2 linked regions of the Oryzias latipes genome follow. The protein of the gene in region 1 purifies or fractionates together with the protein of each later gene. This does not show direct contact. Links are inferred from orthologs where the notes say so. Each region holds a gene or a part of one and is shown on either strand. Other genes may lie near its edges. The genes, in order: sorbs3 and wasl.

The links.
Region 2: the proteins of sorbs3 (region 1) and wasl purify together in Homo sapiens (co-immunoprecipitation; 3 studies listed by BioGRID and IntAct, with this or other methods). This does not show direct contact. The link is inferred for Oryzias latipes from reciprocal best matches to the Homo sapiens genes SORBS3 and WASL.

The regions. Positions count from the first base shown.
Region 1 is NC_019867.2:17,339,588-17,352,591, reverse strand, and holds the start of sorbs3 (vinexin), read left to right. Parts: upstream 1-5,802; 5' UTR 5,803-5,924; intron 5,925-13,004. Other genes in the region: protein neuralized-like, read left to right, coding at 815-845, 1,785-2,294, 2,410-2,571, 2,673-2,845. UniProt on the Homo sapiens protein: Vinexin alpha isoform promotes up-regulation of actin stress fiber formation. Vinexin beta isoform plays a role in cell spreading and enhances the activation of JNK/SAPK in response to EGF stimulation by using its third SH3 domain.
Region 2 is NC_019881.2:13,538,139-13,550,902, forward strand, and holds the start of wasl (neural Wiskott-Aldrich syndrome protein), read left to right. Parts: upstream 1-5,730; 5' UTR 5,731-6,060; coding exon 6,061-6,165; intron 6,166-12,764. UniProt on the Homo sapiens protein: Regulates actin polymerization by stimulating the actin-nucleating activity of the Arp2/3 complex. Involved in various processes, such as mitosis and cytokinesis, via its role in the regulation of actin polymerization.

The sequences.
Region 1 (13,004 bases):
TCTTTTTTTTTATTCATTCATCTTCTTTACCGTTTATTCCCTTTTGGGGTCACGGGGTTGCCGGAGCCTATCCCGGCCACTTGGGTGTAGGCAAGGGATACCCTGGACTGGTCGCCAGTCTGTCGCAGGGTAGAATATCCTCAATCACACATCCATTCACTCTCACACTCACACCTATGGACAATTTAGAGTTGCCAATCAACCTATGAAGCATGTTTTTGGACGGTGGGAGGAAGCCGGAGATCCCAGAGGGAACCCACGCATACATGGGGAGAACATGCAAACTCCACACAGAAAGGTCCCCCATTGATGTTGTGTTTTTCATGTCCCCCAGCCGGGACTTGAAGGGGCCTTCTTGCTGTGAGGCAAGAGCGCTAACCACTGCGCCACCATGCAGCCCTGAAGAAGAAATACTTCTAATTTTCTCAAAATATGTGTGCTGCTTTTATTTTTTAAAGAAGAAAAGCAAAACTGATGGAGGTTCAAGACATTCACACACAAGAAAAACCTGATTATTTTCTTGTCTTGTTATTTCAATTTAGCTGCTCTTAAATTCCCCAGAAAACAACAAGCCAGTGACAGTTGGAACTAAAAATAAGAAATGTTTGCACATGCCTGCACACGGTCCGTACTTTGGGGAAATTTCCCACGTCTGGTCCCTCCCTCAAGCCCGCCTCCCTTTCTCAGGGATTCACCGTTTTCGAATCACACATGCTTTCTGCCTTAAAGGCGGCCAACAACACTGTTGGGCAGATGAATCACAGGAGCAAAGCAAAACACAGAGCAACAGAAGATCGATGAGTTCTTGTTTAAGATGGTGAAAGAAGACGGCAACAATAACTTTGGTGAGATGTTCATCGAATTATACGTTGAATTTTCATGTAAAAGTAAAAATCTCCATAACAAAAAAGTTTCAGTCATTAAATTATTATTGGCTGACTCTTATTTGTTGAAACTTTAAACTCATGCAGCTTTACAATTAAATGTGTTGCCTTAGAGATTTTTTTTGCATTTCTTAAAAAGCAAACATTTTAAATACATCTTATATTTTAATTCTTGTTTTGTCAGTTAGAAGAGAAAGTTAAAGATTTATTTGGGCCAAAGAAGCTAAAAAACAGTCAATCTTCAGTGGGAGTTGACTTTTTCTGTCTTGTGAGGTCATCTCTATGATGCACTAGAATGTTCAGGAGGAGACATTCCTGAAATAAATTTGACAACAGCTATTGTTTGTTTCATCTTTGCAGTTCCAGGAATAAGATCAGTATAGTTAGGTGTGTCACAAGGTTCGTAAGGCACACTTAACTTGTTGTAGTGATTAACCTGACAAAAGATTTAAATAGTTCGGCAAATAGTCATAAAGGTTTTCTTGGAATTCCTTTATACTGCAGTGGGATGGACAACAGCAATTTTTCTTAGATCATGGCAGCACTGGATAAAGAAAATTTCCAAGTTGGTTGCAGCAGTGAGCAGGAATGAACTTTTGGTTCTCTTAAAACCGGTTTCAACACATAAGTCTCGTCTTGTCAGACCCTTGTTTTTCCGAAATTTTGGAGTGACACTAAATGTGGATAATCAGTCAGTGGAGGCCAGGCTGAGATCTGAAAGAAAAGAGAGCAGCAGATAAGGCTGCCTGAAAAACAACCCATATCTCTTGTATGCTAGTTGTCTCAAGCAACAAATGAAGGTTTAAAAACTTGCTTTGTGACATTTTTGTGGAACTGAATCCTCTCTTACTTCTATTTATAGAACTCCACAAATAAAATTCTTCTTTTTTTCCTCAACAGTTGGCTCAGTGGTAACAAATAAGTGCAGCCGTCACTGCCTCGGACTTCTGACCTTCCACAGTTGGGCTACTGGAGACCGGATCCACCTGAGCCCGGATGGTCTGCAGGCTGAAAGGATAGGGGACACGTTCAGAGATGGCCTAGTGTTCACTAGCCGGCCAGTAAGGGTCCAGGAGAGAGTTCATGTTCGAGTGCAGAAGGAAGAACTGTTTAAATGGCAGGGAGCCATGCGGATCGGCTTCACCAGCGTGCCACCTTCAGACAGATCTTTGCCTCTGCCCAGGATGGCCATCCCAAATCTGACCCAAAAGCCGGGCCACTGGGCTGCTCCTGTGCCTGAGTCCCAGTGTTCTGCAGGTTCAGAGCTGGTGTTCTGGGTCTCTGCTGGTGGAAACATATATGTAGAATGCGGCAACACGCGGGACAAACTTCTTTCAGGAGTGGACCTCGGTCAGCCCCTCTGGGCCATGATAGATATCTACGGACAGACACGCTCCATATTTCTGCTTGGTATGTTTATCACATTCACAATGTATCTCCTCTTTGTCTTATTCTCTATTCAAATTCATGATCATGGATCATGGTCTTTCTGTCCCTGACCTTTGCTGTGACCTCCCTGCTGCAGGCTCTGAGATGAAGAGATTGTTTTATAGAAGAAAGTCCTGCACTGTTCCTGTACCTGAGCTTCCCATCTCACCCAATGACAGCTGTCATTTGAATGCTAACGCTTCAACATCAAGATACGGTGATGAGTGCGTCTCCAACCTTGAAATGGACATGTCAGCAGGTAAAAAGAGTCACTGTAGCGGTTCTTTTTTTATTTAGCACAGTGAAGTCTGTCTGTGTGATGCCAGGAATATAACCTTGATTCTTGTCTTCTGGTTCCAGATGAAACATGTGTGGTGTGCATGCAGAGAACAGTCGAAAGTGCCTTGCCCTGTGGCCACAAGTGTTTGTGTTACCAATGCACTTCCAGAGTCTTGCTGCAGTTTGGAACCTGCCCGCTGTGCCGAGAGGACATCAGGTCTCTGTTAATAGAGTGGAGGGGGGTGTCTGGCTGAGCCTTGAAATGCTATTCCACCTGAAATAATCCCTGAACTGTTTTTGTAATTGTAGTGAGGAAAATGAAAAGTGGCTGACGTGAATTGTTGAAGCCACAGAATCTGACACTCCAGAAACACTTACATTTTATAAAAACCTTGTGAGACAAAGAAAATGTATTATGAAGCTGACACCAGTCCCAATGAGCATAAATGTATTTTGTAAAATGTAAATTGAAAAATGTCATTCTTTTGCACTTTCTTTGTAATCTCTAGATAAAGAAGAGGAGCCAAAATATCTGTTGCTGACAAAGACATGAGCGTTTATTGTGTATAAGAATTTGTTTTATATGTTTTTTACACATATTTTTAACTGTAATTTCTTTTTACATGTTTCTACTTTGTAAAAAAAAAAGTCACTTGTCTGGAAGAATGTCAAAGATAAGGAAAGATATAAAGACGTTCTGACTTTTATTCTTGTTGATGTGTCTGATGTGATCCTGAGATATGTATCTAAATAAGCGGAGTGTTTGGTTTCCCAGCACTGTCGTGAATCTAAAAATGACTCATTTTTCAAAGGAGTAGACATATTTTGTTTAAAATGCAGAAGCCGATGCAGTAGATTGTGTAATCTGAAACTGGTTATGGGTGTGTTTTACGCTGCTGGAAAGATACCAGAGAGTGGAGATGTTTCTTGCACAACTGAAAAACGTGCAACCTGCAAATCATTGCTGTGGTTAAATAGAAAACAAAACTTATTAGTTAATAAATGATCTGCAGTATTTTTTAAGACTTTAATATAAATTAAACATTTAGTGTACTTGATTATGTATCCGCATCTCCTCTGTTCGTCATCTGGATCCATGCTCACCTGTTCTGTCTTTAATGCAACAGCTCTGGTATAATTGTCCACACAAATCAGTGGTATTATTAAATGATTTGTCTGTTGTAAATGATTAACATGGCAAAGGAGTGAATGAAGCAAAATGCTGGCAAGTGTTTTTGTAGTTTAACCTTAAAAGCCCAAACATTGCTGATGCAGGAAAAACTAAAATCCATCTGCATCAAGAAGCACGTTTGTTCCTATTGCTTCTACAGAAAATAACTGGTTGCTCCTAAAGTCCCACTCCGATCATCTTGTGATCTATTTTAAAAGCATTCCCAGTGGTCTTGTAGTTATGATTTTGCCATTTTTTTAGCCACAAAAAGCAAAACAATCATTTTTCAGGACATCATTTCTGCAGTAGTTCGTTAGAAATTCACCTGTGAGTTGTGAGCTGGACTGTTGTAGTGGCCTTCCCATTGTATTTTCCACATAACGTAACATATTTCAATCTGCATTTTTTTCATGTACTCCTGCTTCATAACCATTTAAGTAAAAATATACTCATGAAAGCAATTTTATTCTAAATTTTTTAATGTCCTTCACCATAAGCAAAATGCTTCAAGAAAAAGTTAAAAACAGCAAAAACACCAATTTCATTGGAGTGGGTCTAAAGCAGTAAAACATAAACTTTCTGTTGGATAGGTATTCATTAATTTTCCCTCCCTGGGACATTATTCTGAGGACATCTGTGGAGAAATCTGTTTTGTATAAAAAATGTGGTCATAATCTGATGCCTCCAAGTAATTTTTTTCTTGGTTCTATTTTCGTTAAACATTGTCCAACATTATTTTTTGTTTTTTTTTAGAAAACAATGGACTAATTTGACTTGAATTTGGATTCATGCTTCTTTTTTTAAACTTTTTGTTTTGTTTTGGTTTAGATGAGTCTTCAACTCTGGGAACATCTGTCAGTTCTGCTCACATGTAAAAGCACAAACCCAGCAGTGCCCTTTATAACCACTGAGGGGCAGCATATTTCCATTTATTATGAGAAAAACCAATAACTCCCTAAATAGAGATTTACTTCTTAAAACTCTTTGAGTTCAAGACAGTGAAACCGAGGCTTGTTGCAGGTATCAATATTATTTTTTAGATAGTTTAGAAATAAATCTTTAGATACCTTGACATCCATTTAAAAAAATTATATTTGAAGGGAAAAAAAATACAACTGTTTATTTGTAATTACACTTGTGTGATCTTTGACTCCAAGTATGCATTAATATTATATATATATTGTAATTATATTATTATATTATATATTAATATATATATAGTATATATTATATATACGCATGTAACATTTCCGACTCACTACGGTGAAGTTCTGGATTGTTGTCTTGACATGTGGATGGACTCTAGACAAAAGACTGAAGGTGTGACCTTTGGTTTGTGATCTCACAGCCTACCTGTTAAATATTTATCTTGGATGGCAGAACTGCACTGCTTTTGATCACAAAGTGAAGGAATCTACCAAACATATGTTTCTGGGGATAAGAAACCGTGGGAATAAACATGTAAATCCAGTCAGAATCTTGCAGCTTCACTGCTCTAGAATCAGATCCATGGCACTACTTCTTATGGTTGAACTGTCGTATTTTTCAGATTTTAGGAAGGTAAGTAGATTTAGTTCTGGAAGCCTTATGTTCTCTTGCATGTGTGTGAGGTAGTCAGCCTGTATGCGTCTGCATTTATGTCTGTGAGAAACAGGTGAAGCGCGTTGACTTAACCCCTTGGTTCACATAAAAAGCTGCCCAGACTGCCTTTTGTGTGAGGAACAAATGTATCAGACCCATCTGATGATAACAGCAGACAGTAAACAGACTGAACTGCTGCACAACATGAGTTACCCATGCTTCTTCTCTGAAAAGAAAAATCGACTTTTGCACCTAGAACACTGACAAGCTGTTCTGCTTAGCTCATGACTGGATGGGAATCTATTATTTCCAGCTGTGGATGGAAACTATTACGGAGCCCTGTCTCCCTGATGAGCGTTAAAGTGAATGGTCGCAAAACAAACACATGCCAGCACGCCTACAGACAGGCAGGGAAAGATTCAGGCCCACGCTGAATCATTCACTATAGATAAAAGCCACCCTGTTGTCCTCAGACTGAAAAGGGAGGGAACGGAGCGAGTGGGGAGAAGTGGTGGTTCCCTCCTCCTTCTGGATTCAGTTCCTCTCTTCTTTTGTGCCGAGAAGATCTGACTGCGCAGCCTGTAAGTACTGTACTACTTGTGCCTCCTGTTCTGACTGTGAGATGAGAGCAGCGTGGGTGACGAGGAAGTAAAAGTTGACAGTGCAGAAAGATTTTTCAGAACTTTGGGATTGTTTAAACAGGAGTTTCAGTTTGCCGGAGGAACATTTATGAATGAAGACACTTGATATTTACAGGGGTTTTTTCATCACTTCAAAATTATTGTACTTTTTTTTTTTTTACAGCTGATAACAGTGATGGTTCTCCCCAAACTTTGAGCTGTCAGATTTTATTCTGATTAACTTTCTGGAAAACTTAAGTCTTTTTTCTAGATACGATAGTTAAATTTAAAGTCCCGAACCGAAATAAGCTGTTTTAGTGCCAGGATAACCCAGATTACTTTGTGTTTGTTCTCAGGAGACATTCCCACATGTGACACTTCACGACAAGTAGTTCTTATCTCAAGCCTCCATGTTTCTGATGATACCTTTAACCTGTAGAGTTGTACTGTCTCTCTCATGTTAACTGATGATAACTGGATTTTTAGACTTTTTTAGTGCGGTTGTCTTTCTTCTTTCAGAAAAAGTCAAATATAAAAATCACGCTAATAAAAACCCAGAAAAACCTGTAACTTTGGTTTCAAGATGATGTAGTTTTTCATTGCATAATCCACTTATGTCATGGTAAATTCTCTCCCTGGAATCTTTGGCTGTTATCCTTTTAATGAGGCTCTGCAGTGTACTGGCATTATGTGAAAGGGCAGTGGTTGGTCTTTACAGCGCAATAAAGATCTGCTGGAAACTTTCCACAACAGTGGGGAATCACGTAGGAAAAGAGCATACCTTGCCTCCTTTTCTGGCTTATTTTTCTACAAGAAATAGGTGTTTTTTGTCTGGATTGGGTGAAGGAAAGATGTTTGGTTGTGGCTTTACCCAGTTGTTTGTACGATTACCTCATTTAACAACAGAATAATATAATGACAGAAGTGCAACCAGGAAGGAAAAAGTCTGTTCCTGCATGGCACTAATTAAGAACTAAGGCTCCTGAAAGGAGCCTGGGTAATGCTTTAAGTTTGGGAGCTCCACCGTTTGGCCAAAAACAACCCAGAGAGCAGTACAGGCTCAGTGAATGAGCTGCTGCCCCCAGGTTTTATAGCCAGACCGCTGAATTATTAAACAGAGCAGAGGCCTTAAGTTTCAGGAGGAAAGTGGCTTGCATGAAGATGTTAAAACAAATATGCAGATTGACTGAAAGTTTGAGTGAGACCATTCAGGCCGGCAGAGAATTGGAGCCGTCACTATTTGTGGAATTTGTAGCTCAGTCTACCTGTGGCAGGCTGTTAGGCAGGAATTGCATGGAAGCAGAATGCATGTATGCATTTTGTCCTTTTGGGGGTTTACCTGCATTGTGATTTGATCAAGAACGACACACGAATTTGACTGAAGTATTCATCTGAATTTGAATAATTGTCCTTTGCACTGCTAAGATATCTATCACGTGTCAAATTATTTTCTCCACATGTTTGTATGTATGAAGGAAAGAAAAACAGTAGTTAAAAGGCTCAGTCCACAATATGCAAACACATTCTTTATGTAAAATAATCACAGAAAAGATAATTAGGAGGAGACATCATGGAGTCGCCTGGCTGTGTTCGGGCAGCAGAGGTGATGAACTGTTTGTGTTCCCCTTTGGTTAACCCTGTGCTGTGAATTATCTCCTTATCACAACAATGGGGCTGTTTCACTGAAGGAGGTGCCCCTGAACTGACAAGCCAAGTGCAGGGTGCCTTTTAAACGCAGGTTGAAAGGGGTTGTCATGGTAATACTTGTCAACCGGGAAGTCTTTCTCGGAGGCAGGCGGTGTGAGGGTTGGGTGTCTGAGAGGCGACCTGGCCAGTTTCAGCAGTCAGAAAAGGGAAACTTCAGGGCCGACAGAGGTGATTCCATGCCCCACTCAGTCAGGGGGAAGGTTTTTATCAGCCCCAGCGGGAAGGTGAGGGGACTCGTAAAGAAAGGGAGCACAATCGAGAGCAGAGAAACTCAGGTATGGCTGTTTAGCAAGTGTGTTGAGTAACCAGTCTGACTGCTCAGGTGTACACAGTGTTTACCTTGTTTTAAATGCTGCAGAAAGTATGTATCTTTACAAAGAATCTAACAGCAAAATGAAGCCTTTAATCTATGGAAGTTCAGTGTTGCAACACCACTGTTTACTGACTAAGCAAGTGGAATAATGCATGCATCCAAGCATGAACACACAGAGTACACTGAGGGCAATGTTTCTAAATATCTGTTCAGGGGCTATGTGTACACCAGGTGAGATCAACATGTCACTCAGCCGTGTTGCTTCCCTCATTCTGAAAAGGAGCTCAATGACTGGACTGTCCAGACCCCCCTGACTGTCAGGGAGATTTCCACAGCTGGCTCAGACTCCCTTTGTCACGTTTCTGTGGGTCCAACTGCCTACAGTCAGCTTTAAAAATGCAAGATGACAGGCAGGAAGATTTGGGAAATTTTTTTTCTCTTACCCGCACCTACTTTCTTATGCTTTGACGGTATATTGAACACATTGAAGAAAATAATTGAATTTCTTTTATGTTGTTGATGAGAATAATCAACTTCGACTCTGAGCTTGGGTCCTCTTGAGGGGAAAAAAGGCTGGGATTTACTGGCCTGAAGCTTCTGCTGGAACGTACTGAACTCTCCATTGATATGAAACACGCACAGACTCCTCCTGTTGTCTAGGCTGGTGGAGCACCATACAAGGAGGTGAAATACTTCCCTCCGTGATAAATGTGTATATCCCCCTCAATCACTGATTATCATAAACCTGCTGCTGCAGGACCTTGTATGGACTCTGTCCACACATCTGCTCCGCATGCTTGTGTGATCATCCTGACACAGCTAACCTCTCACATAGCAGCATGCTGACTCACATAATGTGTCCATAAAATGTCTGTTTTATTCACTCAAACTGCTTGTAACTGGCACCTCAGCACTTTTAAAGCCATGATTTCTTTGGTTTTATTGGCTGCTTATGTAATTTGTTGAGCAGCTGTAATGTAATGTTTATCGGGAAATGATTGGACATGACTGCTTTGTCACCACAAGATCATCAGATGTATTAATATCCAGGAGAGCAGCACATCATGAATCAAAGCCGTTTAATGCTTTGTGGAGATCATGAAATGTGGAAATTATGTTTATGTTAAAGAAACCTTGACCTCATGCTCCTCAACAGCTCCCATGTTGTGAAACAGAGGATGTGCCAACGACTAGAAATCAAATCTTTCTCCTTGAGAAAAAGAGATCCTTCCCTTGACCACAAATAACAACTTTCCTGGATGACAACCACAAAAGTTCAAGGGTCAACCCTCCCCGTGTTCTTGTTGAAGAATGTATTGTTACCTTGACAGAGTTGTCAGTGTGAAGAGCAATGCAAGCTCCCCTTCTGTGTGGAGGAAGTCCCTTAAGAAGACCTGTCACGTCCTTCTTATGAAGATGAAGAAATCTTAGGATTTATGAGTATATACATGACACCCGTTTTCCTTTTGCAGTATAGTACAACATCTGTCTAAGTCGGATTTTGTCTGAGTATAATTCATTCAGCTATTCATTGAGCTTCTTGTAGCTTTAAAGTCTCACAACATCTTTTGCTCTTTTGTAATAGTGTTTCCAGTGGTCTCTTAATTACGATTAAGCCATTTTTAGCCAAAATCAAAAAATCCTGTGTCGTTGTCCAGCAAACAGTTTCTGCAGAGCGGCAGGAGTTAATCAGAAATTCACCTCTGAGTTGTGGGCGGGACCGTGGATGTGGTAGCAAGCCCTCGCCCTTCCCATCATCCATCCGTTTACTCACTTTCCCTCTAGTTTACAGCCTTTCACACCCCCAACCTAACATTACAGTTGCAACAAAAATGGCGAGCAAATTGAAGCTATCCAGCCGAACAGTTCTGAGCAAGATGTCAGTTCAGACGAGGAAAACAAAGAAGTACATAGATCTATTTGTCTGCAAGTGGATGCACACAATGGAGCAGAACAGGGGGCTTGTTGCTCACCATAGATTCTATGGACTCTAGAAGGTAACTATATCACACTTACAAGTTTTATGTAACAACATTTTCTCTCTCCTGGAAAATTCACAATGATTTGATTAAAGAAACACGATTTTAATCTTAATTTTATTTATATATGTCCTCCATCTCAACAAAAATGGCAAAAGAACGGGTTAAAAACAGCAAAAACCCAATTTTGATTGGAGTGGGTCTTTTAAGATGATCTGGTCTCCTCAGCATCTTTCAAACATGATGTCATCTGCCAACTTTTCGTACAGCATAGAGGGAAAATATGAGTATGATCAACTAAAATAACTTATTTCTAGGTTCTTTTTATAATCACTGGTGTCATCTTGAAAACTGGAGGTAAGGGGACGGTGTAGCTGCCAGGGTCCAAAGCCAGATTTAGCAAGGCCCCCATGTTAACCTGTCACAGATGGGGCACTGGTTTTGTGACAACAAACTTAACTAGCAAGAGTGCTATGATGTCCAAGTTATGATGGAGTTTTCCATAGGGAAACAAACTGATCAGCTCATCTCTTTATTTTCTGTTCCTGAGAGCCAAACCAAGGCAGGACTGTGGAGACACGTACACTACAGTGTCTGTCATCTCAGTGCCTCCAGGACTTTTTGATAATTGCTGTGCTTAAAAAATATTTACTGTAGTTTGCGACAGTCTTTCCAAAAAATGTTGATATTTTTCAATAATAAATTCCAGTTCACGGCTGTGGGAGGACATTAAAGCTGCTGTTTTTCCCCTGCATTTATACAATTCCTAATTAAATGGTGATTTATTTTAAAATCAAGCTTATTTTTGTCATATTGTGCAATAGCACCTATAAAACTTGAACAATTACTTAATAGGGACATGCTTTGTAACATTTTCCCCAACAAATAGACAGCATTAAACTCATATTGAAATACTACATTTTTACCATGTTATGAATTATTTTAGTCTTGTTAAAAAAAATTTTTGGCGAGGAAAAACAATCAAGTGAAATGTGACCATTGGCCACCCAGCCTTAATTTAGGAATTCTTAAATTGAATCTGAAAATTCAACACAGAATTATTGCAAAACAGCTGTTTCAGTTAGAAAGATCACTTGAACCAAACACTTCTTTTTAGACATGAGCAAATATCCTTAAATGGTACATTTAGTGATTTGTTTACACAGCTTTATCAGCAAATCATTAGGTCTTTCATCAACTTATCTCAGTGTTGTGTTGCAGCAAAGTTGTAGTGATTGAACAAACTTGTGTAGAGAAAAATGTTTGGAAATTGGATGATAAAAGATAAAGGGGAAATTCATGGCTTCTCATTTGCAAAAAAATCCAATAAAATATGTCAACTGGATCTCTTTAGATTCTCTCTTAGGATTGATGATTGGAGCTGACCAGGAACTCTCCATCTACCCAGGTTTTCAGGGAAAAGGAGATAAAAGTCTTTTTAAAAGCATTTTTTAAATCAGGTTCTTCCCTTTTCCCAGTCCAGTCAGTGCAACCACAGATTTGCCTGTGGCCATCGCTCAGCAATTTTGGTAAAGTTGTTGTTCACCTTCCGACATATCTCTTCAGGGGTTGCCACAGCAAATCAGCTTTCACTTATTCACTCAACCCTGTATTTTATCTGGGATTGGGACGTACGCATGGGGGGCCCAGACTAGTGCTCCCTGGTTACTACAAGTGCCTTGCTTAATTTTGGCATGGGTGAAACTCTGCAGGTTTTATCCTGGGACTTTGGTCAGAGGTCTATGTCACTAATCTCAATGACAGAAAAGAAAAGAATCAAAGTCCTAACTCAGACTTGGTTCAAATTCAATGAGACTTAAGGAGACCTGTATATGTATGGAAATGCCTCCACAGCTATATGAACACATTTTTAATCAAAGTCAGATTTAAGCAAGAGGAAAGAGGAAATTCAAACTAAAACTTTCTCTTGTTAAACCTGAATCTACAATTCACAGAGTGGACTTGGAGTGCCTTACTTACACACATTTGCACAACTTTAAATCTGCAAAATCACTTAAAATAAGCATGTTTGTCATCAGCTTCATCAATTGTTGTTTTGTAATCCCTGTATTTCCAGTCTAACTGACAAATGTTACAGTGACAGATCAGTGCAGAATCATGTTTTCTCTTTTTACTGTCTATTATTTTAAGTTTCAACAACAATTTCTAAGAGAGATGACTTTAACTGTGTTTTGTTTAATTTGAAGTGGTCTACATACATTTTTGTCTCAGCACCCCGCAGTTTGGATTTCCTGTTGTTTTCTAGCTTTAACTTATTTTTGGATCAGTTAATATTTGCCTCTTTCCCTGGAGATATTCTTTGAACTTCCTGGGGACAGACAAAAATAAAATCCAAGTCAAAATCCGTCGATTCCTATGTTAGACATCCTCAGTTGCATTCTGCCATGCTGAGTTTATGTCACCACGTGTAAAGCAGCAAACAAAACCTGTCAGTTCAGCATTGTGAAAGCATCTCCAAAGGAGGATATCAACTCTAGAATGAAGGTGAATTACTTTTTAAGGTCATGCTTTCCTTTCCCCAAATGTGACGGGGTGCAGGCCTGCAGAAAGAAACGTGCTTCACAGAGACAGCATCCAGGAGCTTCTAAAAGCAAATCTTTATGTGGAAGCTCAGAGCTGCCTTCTGTGTTGAGGCTCAGCAATTACATAAGAGCGCACTGAGCATGAAAAACAAACCAACAAAGAACCAAACTTTTGGAGTGGGCTTTCCTTTGCTAACCATCAACAGAGGATTTGCCTTATTAGGTTAGACTGTGATTGAAGCTTTTAGTGTGGAGTAGATGAGTAGATCTTTTTGATTTGGTTCTGCTGTGATATGACACAGAGTTACTGTAATGGTATGGCTTAAGTCATGGAAAAAATTCTTGGAAAAAGGAGACTTTTTTTCCTTTCAATGCTTCAAAAAATTAAACAAACCTCAAAGGTTTACGCCTTCAATCCATCCATTTTCTATACCCTTCTGGGCTGTGGAGGTGCTGGAAACCGTCCCAGCTGTCAGGGAGTGAGGGAGGGACAGCCGTA
Region 2 (12,764 bases), on another chromosome or scaffold:
CATGATTTTAAAAGCATTCCCACAGGTCTTTTAATTATGATTATGCCGTTTTTTGCCAACATTTTAAAAGATTACTGTAATTTTTCAGAACTTCATCAGAAATTCACATCTGTGTTGTGGGCTCAGATGCCAATTTCCCCTTCCCGTCACCAATAACTAAGAGCTGTCCCTTTTACAAGCTTTTCCATGAGATTACACCCCCATCCTATAACATTACCAATACAGCAAAAATGTCTAGAAATATTGGAGCTATCAAGCCGTACAGTTTAGAGCCAGATGCCAGCTCAGACGAGAAAAGACACAGATGTATATGGATCTAGTCCTCTGCAAGTGGATATATCGCAACAAAGCGAGGAGCTTCTGCCCTGCCCAGTGTATTTTCTACATCACAAATAAGCACTTTTGCTCCTGATTCACAATTATTTGAACAAAGAAATACTCAGAAATGCAGTTTTAAGCTTCATTTTATTTATAAGTGTCCTCTATCATCAGTAAAATGCTTCAAGTACATGTTGAAAACACAAAAAACAAGATTTTCATTGGAGTGGGTCTTTCAGTTTAACATTCGATGATCACAACAGCACACCACAACAACAACAATCTCTGGTAAGGCTGTGCCGAGAACTGAAAATGTGTTTATATGTGTTTGAAGAACCACAGATAAAATATTAGTCAACTACTATCTGAATAGTTATCTAAAACCTCCTAACTGTGGACTTCAACTTAAAAATCTGTATTTTTTTTACAAATAAGCTCCTTTAATTATTTGGATAGTCATTATCATGCCTCAAGGCCGAATGGTTGGGTCTCCTGATGTGTCATGAACCCAAAAAGTAGTGTTCCACCTACATTTTGTTCAGCTGTAAACAAAATCTGCTTCTTTTTTTCCATAATGATGTATTTTACTTCTGGGAGAAGACGCCGGTCATTTCGAGGAGAAACTTGCAAGCTGAATAAAAGTAAAGTCCAGTTTTTTCAGGTGAATGATTTCAAGGTCGACTGCATATTAGGGAAAGTATCACTGAAAGACCAAAGCTCAAAAAACAGAGCTGCAGTGATGATCATTTGTTGGAATTTGCTTTGTATTGAGAAGGACTTTTGGAAAAACGGTTGTGCAAAACATACGGCAGATGCTGAATGGGGTAACAGGTCAATAGAACATTGAAAAATGTGGTTGAAGGGCAGAGGAAATGGAGGTATTAAGGTTTTTGTATGTTTGTTGACCTCAAATTGGAGGGATTATGGAGTTTTTTGTGTAGCGGTTGTAATGACTAGAAAATTAGAGTTGCAGTGAGGAAAAAAAGAATATTTAAGAACAAAAAAGATGGAGACCGCACATAGAATCAAAAGGATGCATCCTCACAACAGTAAGTTTGTTCTACAGAAAAGGAGAAAAGAATATCTGAGTTGGAGGTTATGAGCTAGTTTTTGTGTGACTAAATTGCTAACTAAATAACTAACTAACTTGTCATTATACAGAATGAGTTACAAAAGAATCTGGACATTATACGACTTTCTTATTGTTTCTAAAATGTTTCAAGCCTTACATTTCTTTCTTCAAGATTATTTACAAAAAATAAAAATAAAATCTAGCAGTATCTGACGTAAAAATTCACATATGCTTTAGATTAGATTAGATTAGATTAGATTAGATTAGATTAGATTAGATTAGATTAGATTAGATTAGATTAGATTAGATTAGATTAGATTAGATTAGAAATACAGAAATACAGATTTTTCTTTTCTTTAATGGAAATATCTTCAAATCGAGTGAAGATGCTCTTTTTGTTTGTGTGACATGGATCAATCAGCAATTTGATCATCTAATTCTTGCACTATTTTGCAAAAAATGGGGTCAAATATAACTGAGTGGCACTGAAAAGGCATCATTGATTTTAAATCTAATGCAGTGCTGCCATCTTGTGGTTTAAAAGTGGCAGTGCACAGCAGACACAGTAAATAATCTCATAAGGTTTTACCGACCGAGAGGAGTGGTTTAGAAGTTTCACATGACTATAACAATAACCAGTTTTACAATATATATGAACACAGAAAAACACTACTAAATGACAGGTATGCCCCAGTCTTAAATTGTTTTTAGGGTTGGTTTTTCTATTATCACACTGCACAAACTGCTAAAGTAAAAAGACCTTTGTTTTTAAGAAATATCATTTTATTATTTGTATCTCAAGAAAAATTAGGTTATCAAGAAGGTTCTTCAATACGAAAATAATCTTATTTAGAGAAAACATGTCTTAGTGACTAGAATTTGATTTTAGAATACAAATTAGTGGTGAGATCGTTTTTTTTTAAATTAAATTTCTTGCTTATTTTAAGTAATTTTTTCCAACTTAAAACTAAATTTGCTTATTTAAGGGGCTCTTTCTTGCAGTACACTTTGCAATGAAAATCAAGTAGAGACATGTATGTTATCAAAAGTAAGGTCAGGAGTATGTGTGAGGGAATTTTCCACCGCCTCTAATGGTAATGTCAGCTGTCTGGTTCTTTTTTTTTCTTTTGTGATGTCTTTGTGAATGAGCCTGTATAATCGCTACTGTGCAATCCTCAATGGTGTAATGTTTCCCATAAAGGAAAATGCCGGGAGATGCTGGCCTGTTTAAATGACCCAGTTGTGACATTTTCCCTCCCAAAAAACCCACATTGTTTCTCAGTATGATTACACATTCATAAAGAGGCCTAAGGGAGGTTTGTTCCACGAGACTCCAAATTTTAATATTCATGTTTCATTTTTGCCTTGTCTTTGGAACTTTTTTTTTTTTTTTTTTTGCTGAAAAAAAAAAGTCGGTTGAAAGCAAAAGCAAACAATATGCTAGCACTCACTTATGCATATTTTACCTCAAACAAGGGTTTATGTCCACACCACAAAAGCATCTGCCTGCACGTCATGTAGTCGGGATGACGTAACAACTGTTGCGTCAACTGTGTGTTGTTGCACAGACAACAATCTCTATTGTTATTGTGGAAATACAACAAGTGTTTGTATTCAGTATCACAAAAAAAACCACAGTGAATTGTGTGGGTTTTTTTTGTTTTTACATTTCCACATTTCAATTCTGTGAAGACATGTAGCTTTTGTTTGCTTTGTTGCATTATCAGCTTTAAGGAGTTTTGTGAACGTACAGTCCACGTAAACACATCTGTGGCTGTAAGGACTAGGAAGACTTTGTAAACTTTTGACAACATTGGACATTTTAAATACATGACACAGTCCATGAAACATAAATGCACTTCCTAATATGCCTGAATGGTGTTAAGAAGTTTACACATATATAATGTTATATATATTTTAAGTAATAAAATAATATAAATATATAATAAAGTATGATAATATTTGTTCAACGACTTTCCCTTTTAATTAATATTTATTAAGGCTACAGCTTAGATTTTTTTTAATCATCGCATTGTTTTTTACTTTTGCTGCATTTGTAAATTAACTTTGTTTTATTCATCTTTGCAGCTTCACTATTTTTACCCTTTGCTTAAATTTTTTTTTTTTTATCAGGTTTCTTTTGCACTTCTTCATTTGAATTTTTATTTTATTATTTTTAAGCTATTTAAAGACTGAGTCTTGTGATTCATGATACTTTGAGCTGTGATGTATGATTGTGTTTTAAATATTTTCTCCTTTTCCAGTGTTTTCTTTTTACTCGCTTGTAAAGAGGCAACTATGTGAATAAAGTTTGTCAATAAAGTTTGATGACTGATGACAAAACTTTAGCTTTTACTCTTTAGCGCTGAAAGAGGCTTTGAAATAGACACGTTTGTACCACTTCATCTGCCTGAATCATTGTGATACTTACAAAAATGAAGGTGGGCGGAGCCATGCAGCGTTTCCTCAGGTGTTTCTTCTTCTGACTCTCTGGTTTTTCAAGCTCGACAAGAGCAGAGAAAGGTTTGAGCACGAGTCAGAAGGCAGAATTGAAAAACTGTAGTCAGAATATGCAGAAGCAAAAATTTCCTAAAAACTCGGTGAGAGGTTGCCTTTAAATTAGGAACAGAAAAATGAATCCTGTATTCAGAAAAATGAACCATGTTTATGAATTCATACAAATAGGATTGCAAAGCTGGTTGTAATTTAAGACACTGTGAATCTGCCTGAGCACCGTGTACAATCTGGATGACCTCTGCTGCTGTGCACACACAGACAACCACGTGTACTTGTATACATATACACAGGCAGGAGCTGCAAACAGACGTGCTCTCACTCCGTCCCACCCAGAACTTAAGAGTGAGACAAAGTCATCGTGCAGTTTCAGCTGGAATATAACCGCGCCATTGTGTAACACTGCAGACAGGAGCAGACACGCAGAAAGCAGTTTCATAGTTAGAAGTTTTACAAAAATGACTGCCAGTTTTAATAAGATTTCGTGACAAATAATCAGGTGTTTTGCATTTTTTTATTCTAATTTTGTGAGCTTTTAAGAAAATTGATTTAAATAAAGAAGGGTTTGAAAAATTACCTTTTTTTTGCTTGAGCTTTATCAAAATAGGCAAATGAGGAGCCTGTGCTTACGTCAAATGATAAAAGCCTGCAAATCAGTACTAAAAGGATTTCAAATGAGCTAGTTTTTCAACATACTCCTACATATTCTTACATAGAAAGAAACACATCAAGAAGTGTGACTTTGAGGTGGTGGTTACATAAACTTATTTGAGCTAATAATAGCTATTTCTACTTTTTCAAGCTATCTTTAATTAGAATTTCTGTGATAAAAGGATCGACGCGTGGTAAAGTGTGACACAAAACAGAAGAATTTATTTGTGTTAGTAGAACAACCTGTTTGACTGAGCATATGGCAAAGTGGGGGTAATCTCCCTAAAGCGATTGAGCTTGAAAAAAATGTAGTACGCCAGGCAGGCAGGAGAGCTATTGTTCAAATCCACGTTTTGCTGCACCCAATTATCTGCTTAAGTAATCATCTTTTTTTTTTATTTTCTAATTTTTTACTACATATCTGACAAATATTTGTTGTTTCTTATCACATCTTCACTTTAATTTCTTATGCCCAGAGTATGCTTTGATTTGTAAAATAGAAAACTGTTCAGAAAATAATAAATAAAAAAGAGCCTTACTAAAAATATTAAGTTATTTTTGCGCACATGTCAGCTTGAACCCTTAGGTGATGTTAAAGAAATGGAGCGCATTTAATTTTCCCTTGCTTTATTTACCAGTTCAGTCTAGCTGTGTGGCACAGTTCAGGAAGGTCTTCTATTTTAAATGAATGTTAATAACCTTTTAGAAATGAATCTAAAACCTAACTTGACCTATGACTTTTAGGAGTTTTGTTATCTTTAAAAGAAAATGGTAACCTTTTTGGTTCTTAGCGAATGCCTATTAAATCCCAAAGAGTTCATTTAAAATGTGGGATTAGTTTCCTGATAATCCCTAATCCAGTAGCTGCTCATACGGAAAAAAAAATCTTATCTTTGCTGACTGAACCTTATTCCTTACTGCCTCCCATTCCCAGTACTCACATTCCTGTCATAAAAGCCAGGGGCAGATTGGATTGTACCATCTTTACGGATAACAAGCAAAAACAATAGATTTCTTTGGCAATAAATAATAAATGGAATTCCCATTGAAATAAATGTATACGCTATAGATCTTTAAATAATTGTTTTAAGTATTATTTTTATGTTTAAAATATTTTTCAAGGTCTATTTGGGACGCGTTAGGTGAACGTTCCCCCCTTTTCAAGAACAATGGAGTCGTCCTAACTGCCATGTTGGATGGAGCTGGTTTAGGGCTCTCTGACGGCTTGACTGCCCAAGAAAGTTTCTGCAGTGTTCCGCCTTCTCTCGGTTGTTCCCAATTTGATCTTATTTGGAGGAGCTACGGGACTTTGCTTTACATTCCTAACCAGCAACCATCTTTGGCAACGTCGCTTTGCGGAAACGCAGGACCAATCCCAACCGGTGCGAGGGGTCCGGAGGACGAAGGCCACCCATGACCGAGAGGAATTGTTTATGTGTCTTTTGGGGTCTCGTATTTAACGAGTAAACTCAGTGCATACTTAGTTAATCAATTGATCTCTCACGATGAGTGGACTTTCACAGCCACGGCGGCCCATTAATGCGGGTTCAATTCTCCTGACCAGTCAGGAAAACGACTGCCTTTTCAACTACCTTGGTAGAAAATGCACCGTAAGTATTGTTTTATATTTCATCAATAAAATTGATTTCTGAACGATAGCTTGCTAACAAAAACTAGCTAACATTGCTAACTTGCAAAACGTTTCCTGTCCCGGGAACAGGGGATAGTGTTCAACCGGGATGTGTTTGTGGCCTGCGGTTCAATCTCCTACATGTTTATGCGCACACAGTTGAGGCATTTGAGATTTACAGGCTAGTTTGTTTTGACAGCCAGCGCGTCCGCGAGTGCGTTTAAACCTTTTTATTGATTAGAGAGGACACATGGGAAACGTAGTTTCATTCCTGGCGTGATAAATGCTTGGTCACATTTAAGTCTAGAGCTCGACCCACCTAACTAAGTCATCCAGAATTTATGCTAACAGTAGCCTAGCATTGATTGAGTCGTGTTTGACTTATCGGGGTGTTAAAGCAGTTAAAAATCCATCTGCGACATTTCCCCCCGTTTTTCCTCTCCTTTTTTTCCGTTGACATTAATATATAACGTGACTCAGCCTTCATGTTTTCGGGAAGTGTGCCACCAAAAAGAATGTGCCAACCCAGACACATGGCTTAGAACCCAGCTGACTAGCTTAAGCTTTAAAATACATTAAAAAAGCAAAGCAAAACGGGCCAGTCACCAAATGTGATGAGCTAAGCGGAAGGAGTCGTCCCCTTCTTCAGGTGTGACTGCGGCGGAGGTCTGTAGTTCCATTCCCATGGCGTCAGAAAGTGACAGAATCTGCTTTATTGCGTAAGACATTTAGCCTTCAGCAGATTTTTTATCTTTTGATTTTTTTGGTGGAAGTCCCACCTTCTCTCATAATCCTCTGAAGTACACCATTTGCGGCTTTTAATTTTTAATTTTTGGCTTTTGATGGATGTAATGACTTTTTTCTTTTTCTTTAAAACACTAATCTTAATCAACCCATCCCTCCTTTTTTTTCCCTTCTTTTTCCATGCCACCATTCTCATGCTGGCACTTTACATTAACAATTTTTGCAAATCCCAGAGAAGACAGATTTTTAACTACAATATTTTTATTTGTAATGTGCATTTACTTAAAAGTCTCACTTCGATCATCTTTTGATCTATTTTTAAAGTGCTCCCAGCGGATTTTTACGTATGATTATGCTGTTTTTAGCCTAAATTTAAAAAAGTTTTGCGGAACAGCAGTAGTTAATTTACCTCTGAGTTGTGGGCGAGACTGTTGAAGCAGAGTAAGTCCACCCTCCCTTCCCGTCATCCATTTGTTTACACACTTTCCTGCAAGCAAAAACCCCCAACCTAACATTGGCGGTGAAACAAAAATGGCAAGTAATATAGGAGCTATCCAGTCGCACAGTTTGGAGCCAGATGCCAGCTCAGACGTGGAAAACAAAGACATATCTGGATCTAATTGTCTGCAAGTGGATGCATCAGAATGGAGCAGAGCGGGGAGCTTGTGGTCTACATCAAATCTACAGGCTTTTTTTAAACCGCATTTTTGCATCCTCTCCGCATTCACAACAATTTGAATAGATGTTCAGTAATGCAATTTTAAACTTAACTTTCCTAACACATGTGTCCTCCAACGTATGAGAGAGGCTACAAGAACATGCTAAAAACACCAAAAACATCATCTGAGTGGGTCCTTAAAAATAAACCAGGGTTGGTTAAACAGAATAATTTTTGCCTGTAAAACAACACCACAATCCTAGATTTTTTTATTGAAAGGGCATAGTTATTAAGGGCACATGTTGTTTTTCATACATATTTGAATATTGAAAATGCACAGTAGTTTTCTCTTCTGGGCTTGTCATTGGGTTGTGCATTGCGGTCAATGTCTTGCTGCAATAAACCCCTCTGCAGATCTGCTCTAAGGTCAGGTGCTGAATGATGCTGGCAGCAGTGCTGGAAGTTGTTAGGAATATTAAAAGTACCTGCCAACAAGACTCTTTGCGGCTTGGGGGGTGGGGGGGCACTTTAGCATACAATAACTGCTGAGCAGTTTTGTCAAACCTGACAAATGTCACCCAAGCTTTATCTGCCAGAAAGTATGCTACACCCTCGCTTGTTATTGATTTCCTTTTTAGATTAGTCTTGTTTTTAGAAACCGGTTTCATATTGATAAGAGCAAGTCTAGTTGCTGCGTCTGTCTTTGTTTCTTTTATGATGATGCAGGGTCATTTCTTAAAGTCTTAACTTTGTGGTTTTATTGCTGCTTCGCAGGGATTTTAGTGTATTGAGTTACTTCCACATAGTCGTATAACCCAGCAAATCCGCCATAATTGAAACCTCTGAGGTGCTCGTACGAACAGAAGTTTGCTTTGGGAAGGCCGCATTTCCTGTTTTCAGGATTCACACGGTCAAACCTGTACGAGAGCCGCCCGGCTTCCACCTTTATCTGAGCAAACGCAGCTCTGAGGCGTGTCCTGCAGATCTGCAACCTGTTTAAAAACCTCATGACTGTATTCTTCTGGCATCCTGTCAGTGGGATTTTACGTCATGTGACACAGACGTGTACGCAGGAGCATTCCCCACCTTTGTGCCTTGTGTACACAGGGTCTCATGGACAGGAGACAGAAAAATATACCATGATAAAGGAAGACGGAATGCATCTAAGTAGCCAACACTCGCCAGTGTTTTTGCTTTTTGTTTTAGAATCTTGATAGGAAATACCCAAAAAAATGCACTAAATGGAAATGCTGGATTATGAATCATTATTGAATTTCGGCTGGTGAAACGATAGTGTCATTGACACGAGGCAGCCGCAGATGCCACAGACAGGTTTCCTTCATTGGTATTCCTTGTGCTCCCTTGAGCGTCAGCAGCTCTGTCTTGCTTGGTGAAAGATGGAATGTGTCCAGTTCACACATCGAGTCTTCATCCGTGTGTGTGCGCGTACGTGCACACACACTGCCTGATCAGCAGTCATGTCCTACAGGAAGGAAGTCCTGTGGTCGACCTCCTCTGGTGATTTGTGCTGGACGAAATGGACGTGACTCTCCTTTTCCTTCACTTCTCTCCTCTTCCAGAGAGTTTCTCCTTTTTAATCTTCATTTTCAGTTGTTCCGATTATTTGCTGAATCTTTTTCTTCCAGTTGGATCTCTCCTTTAGACGTTCTTTTGCATTTTCTTTTTCTGTTTTTATTGGACCTGTTGGCTTGTTTTAATCCCTTCTTTCATTAGACTTTACATCTAAAGACCCACTATGATGAAAATTGTGTTTTTGGTGTTTTAACATTTTTTTGTGGCAGTTTTCTGATGTATTAGAACATTGTGAAAATTAAGCTTAAAATTAAAAAAAGGGTTATGCGTGATGTACACTTGGCGGGCCTTAAGCTCGCTTTGCTAAAGCATCCACTAGCAGACAAATGGATGCATGTACGTCTTTGTTTTCCTCGTCTGAACTAGCCACTGGCTCCAGACTGTGGGTCTGGATAGCTTCGATACTGCTCGCCAATTTTCTTGCACCGGTTGGGGATGTGAGGGGCTGTAAGACGGCGGGAAAGCACGCAAACGGAGAGCTCTGTTATGGGTGGCGGGAAGGGGGGGCGGTGTTGCTCTTCACCACAACTCTGAGGCGAATTTCTAATGAACTCCTGCCGCTCTGCAGAAACTATGTCCTAGAAAATGAAAAGTTTTTTTGTTTTTTGACTAAAACTGCATCATCATACGTTATAGAATAGAGGGAACACTTTTACAATAGATCTTAAGATGATTGAAGTGGGATTTTAAAGCCTTTAAAATCTAATTATTAGTGAAGTGTCCAGGTTAAAAAGATGCACTTTTTTTTCCAATCTGTTAAATCATCTCCATTCAAGTGAATCACTACCCATTTATGGTCTGGATCTGTTGTTAAGATCCCATCTTTGACCAATTCAGATGTTTAAACTCTTGGATGGCCTGAGCAACTGTAAACTATATAAACCTATATATTATTTTACTTTTATGTTTTGTTTTTGTGGGTTACATGGGAAAGTAAGAATTTTCATAAACAGTTTTAAACGTAAAATAATTAATATTATTGAACACAAACAATTGCAGAATATCGGCAGCGATTCTCTCAAAAAAGACTATCGTTTTAAGTTAAATTTGAAAAAGGGGTTTGGACTCAAATAGTCAAACTCCATCCAAAACATTGCATACAGTTGTTTATTAATATGCCTTCATTTATGATTATTTTAATCGGTTCCAAATAGACAGAAACTAAGTAAAAACTGAATGTATGATGCTTAATATGATGGGACAGAGAGGTTAAACTTGGTGATGCTGTGGTTTAGTTCCTCTTGTAGATCAAACAATATTTTTTTGAACAAATGTCATTGAGAAACCACAGGATTTTGTGCTTTTTATTTCAGCTAGGTAGTCCGTGTCATCCTGTTTTTGCTTTACACGTTTCTCAAGTTTAGAATTTTCAGGCAGGTCGGCAAACTAGTTTTTCTCTTCAAAGGTTGATCTCAACAGAAATGTGGTGAGGCTTTGAATTTTACTCCAGCTGATCTCCTTTTGTTTGTTTTTTCTCGTGTACTGCAAGTTTAGTGTCTTTTGGAAAGATGGATTCAAAATTATGATCATAAAGTTTTAATGAAATGGTTTTCTTTTTTTTTTTAACAAACTATTAAAAGTAGAGGGATAATTTTGTTAAATTCAGATTTTATTTAACTCCTGAACTAAAATATTAGGGTGTTCCTCCCTGTTCATCCCGACTGCTTTGTTTACGTGCCTTTTGATTCATCAGATTAAAGCATAAAAAGCCATAACTCTGGAAGATTTCAAATAAAAATCAGAATATGCCACCGTAAGTTTCACATAAAACCATTGGAGTTTCACATAAGTGCACATATTACCTAACCTACTGACTAAAAAAAAGATATGTTGGTGTGAACAGTGTTTGCACCGGGTCAGTGAACGCAACATCAGGCGTCTTGCAGGTAGAAACTCCAAGCTGAGAGTCACAACAATTACATTTGAGAAATACTCTTAGTTTTTGACAGAAACCACAGTTTCCCATCCTATCTGGAGAAATCAGAGCTTCATGAGCAGATCAGAGTTCAAGCTTGAAAGCCGTCATGCTAAGATGCAGCAAAAAGCAGGATTTATTATGTGATTTTATAAGCATGAAATCAGAATCTGTTTGACCAAACTGTAAAAATGTTACCTTGATGAAATAAAATGTCAAAATCAACAGAACTGCTTCAGGTGTGACACATAGTTCAGAACATGTTGTCATTGGGATATTAGTGCAAATGTCTGCTTTTTCACTATAAATGCTTAAATCAAAGCTCTCTTGATTAGAAGGAAGTCCAGAAAAAGCTTTTGACCCGTGCAGCATATTTTCTACGTCACAAATACCATAATTTTCCAACTGCATTTTTTCCTCCCGCTTCACAGCAATTTAAATAAAGAATTTAAAGAGCTCAATTTTCTTCAAATATGTCCTCCATCATCAGAAAAACGGCAAAAGAACATGTGAAAAAACACAGTTTTCACCAGAGTGGGTCATTAATCCTCACAGTACTGCAGCAGATTGTTTTTCTTCCTGTTTTTGCTCACCTCAACATCCAATTTACACTAAACTACAAAGGGTCCCTGCTGTGCACGGCTACCATGAATCCTGTTGAGCTAGGCTGTAATTCCTGGAACTGGGTTCGGTTGAAAGGGCCCACAAGGCTTTTCCCTTGATGCCCCGGCTTTCATGTGTTACTCTGCAGCGGTGATGCTGGACTTCCCGGTGGGAAGGAACTCCTGCAGCAGCGTGGTAAAACTGCAGGAGTCTAATCTGGCCTTATGATCTTGTCTCGGTGTGCCATAGCTGATCCGTGTATGTGGAAGTGTTGCTACTCAGGCTTTTTGTAAATGACACGTGTTTGCTAGTGGTCATGTGATTTAATAGTGCAGTTAAGATTTATAAATAAATGTATAGTTTTCAATCTTTATGTTTTCGTGTATGTACTGTAAACTGCTTTTAGGAGGCCTTTTAGTTTCTTGGTGGTCCCCTTTCCCACATTAACAACTTTTTTTTTTGCTACAAAGTTTACATTTAATTGTCATTTCTCATCACAAATCAAATGTTTATGAATTAAATTGTAATATTTTAGCAATGATTCTCAGCAGAGTGGAGAAACATTGGTTGCAGAAATGCTACTTTGACTCAGTCAAAAATAAAGATGCAAAGCACAAATGCACATTTTTTACAATTTAAACATGTATATTAGCATAAAATCACACAGACTTTTCTTTTCTATTTTTGCTCCTATTTGGACAACTTTTCATTTTTGAACAAACATTTCTATAATAATTTACACACATGTAAAGGTGACCCTGAATACTGAAAGACATTTTTCCCAAGGTTTTATTTGAACATCAAATTCACCAATTTTTCTTTTACATATAATCTATTACACCCTAATCTATATTACATCAATAAGGTTTAATGGGATACAAACTAAGATCAATGAGAGCAGATGAAATACTAAACAAATACAAATTTCCTAAGGAAAGGCTAGAAAGCTGAAGATGCCCCTTACAGTCAGTCCAATTGATGAAGTCGGACTCTTTTGCTCACTGGTAATCCTTTAAGTCCAAAATCCTAAATTTTTTTTAATCTTTTAAGTCTTGTTATATAAAAT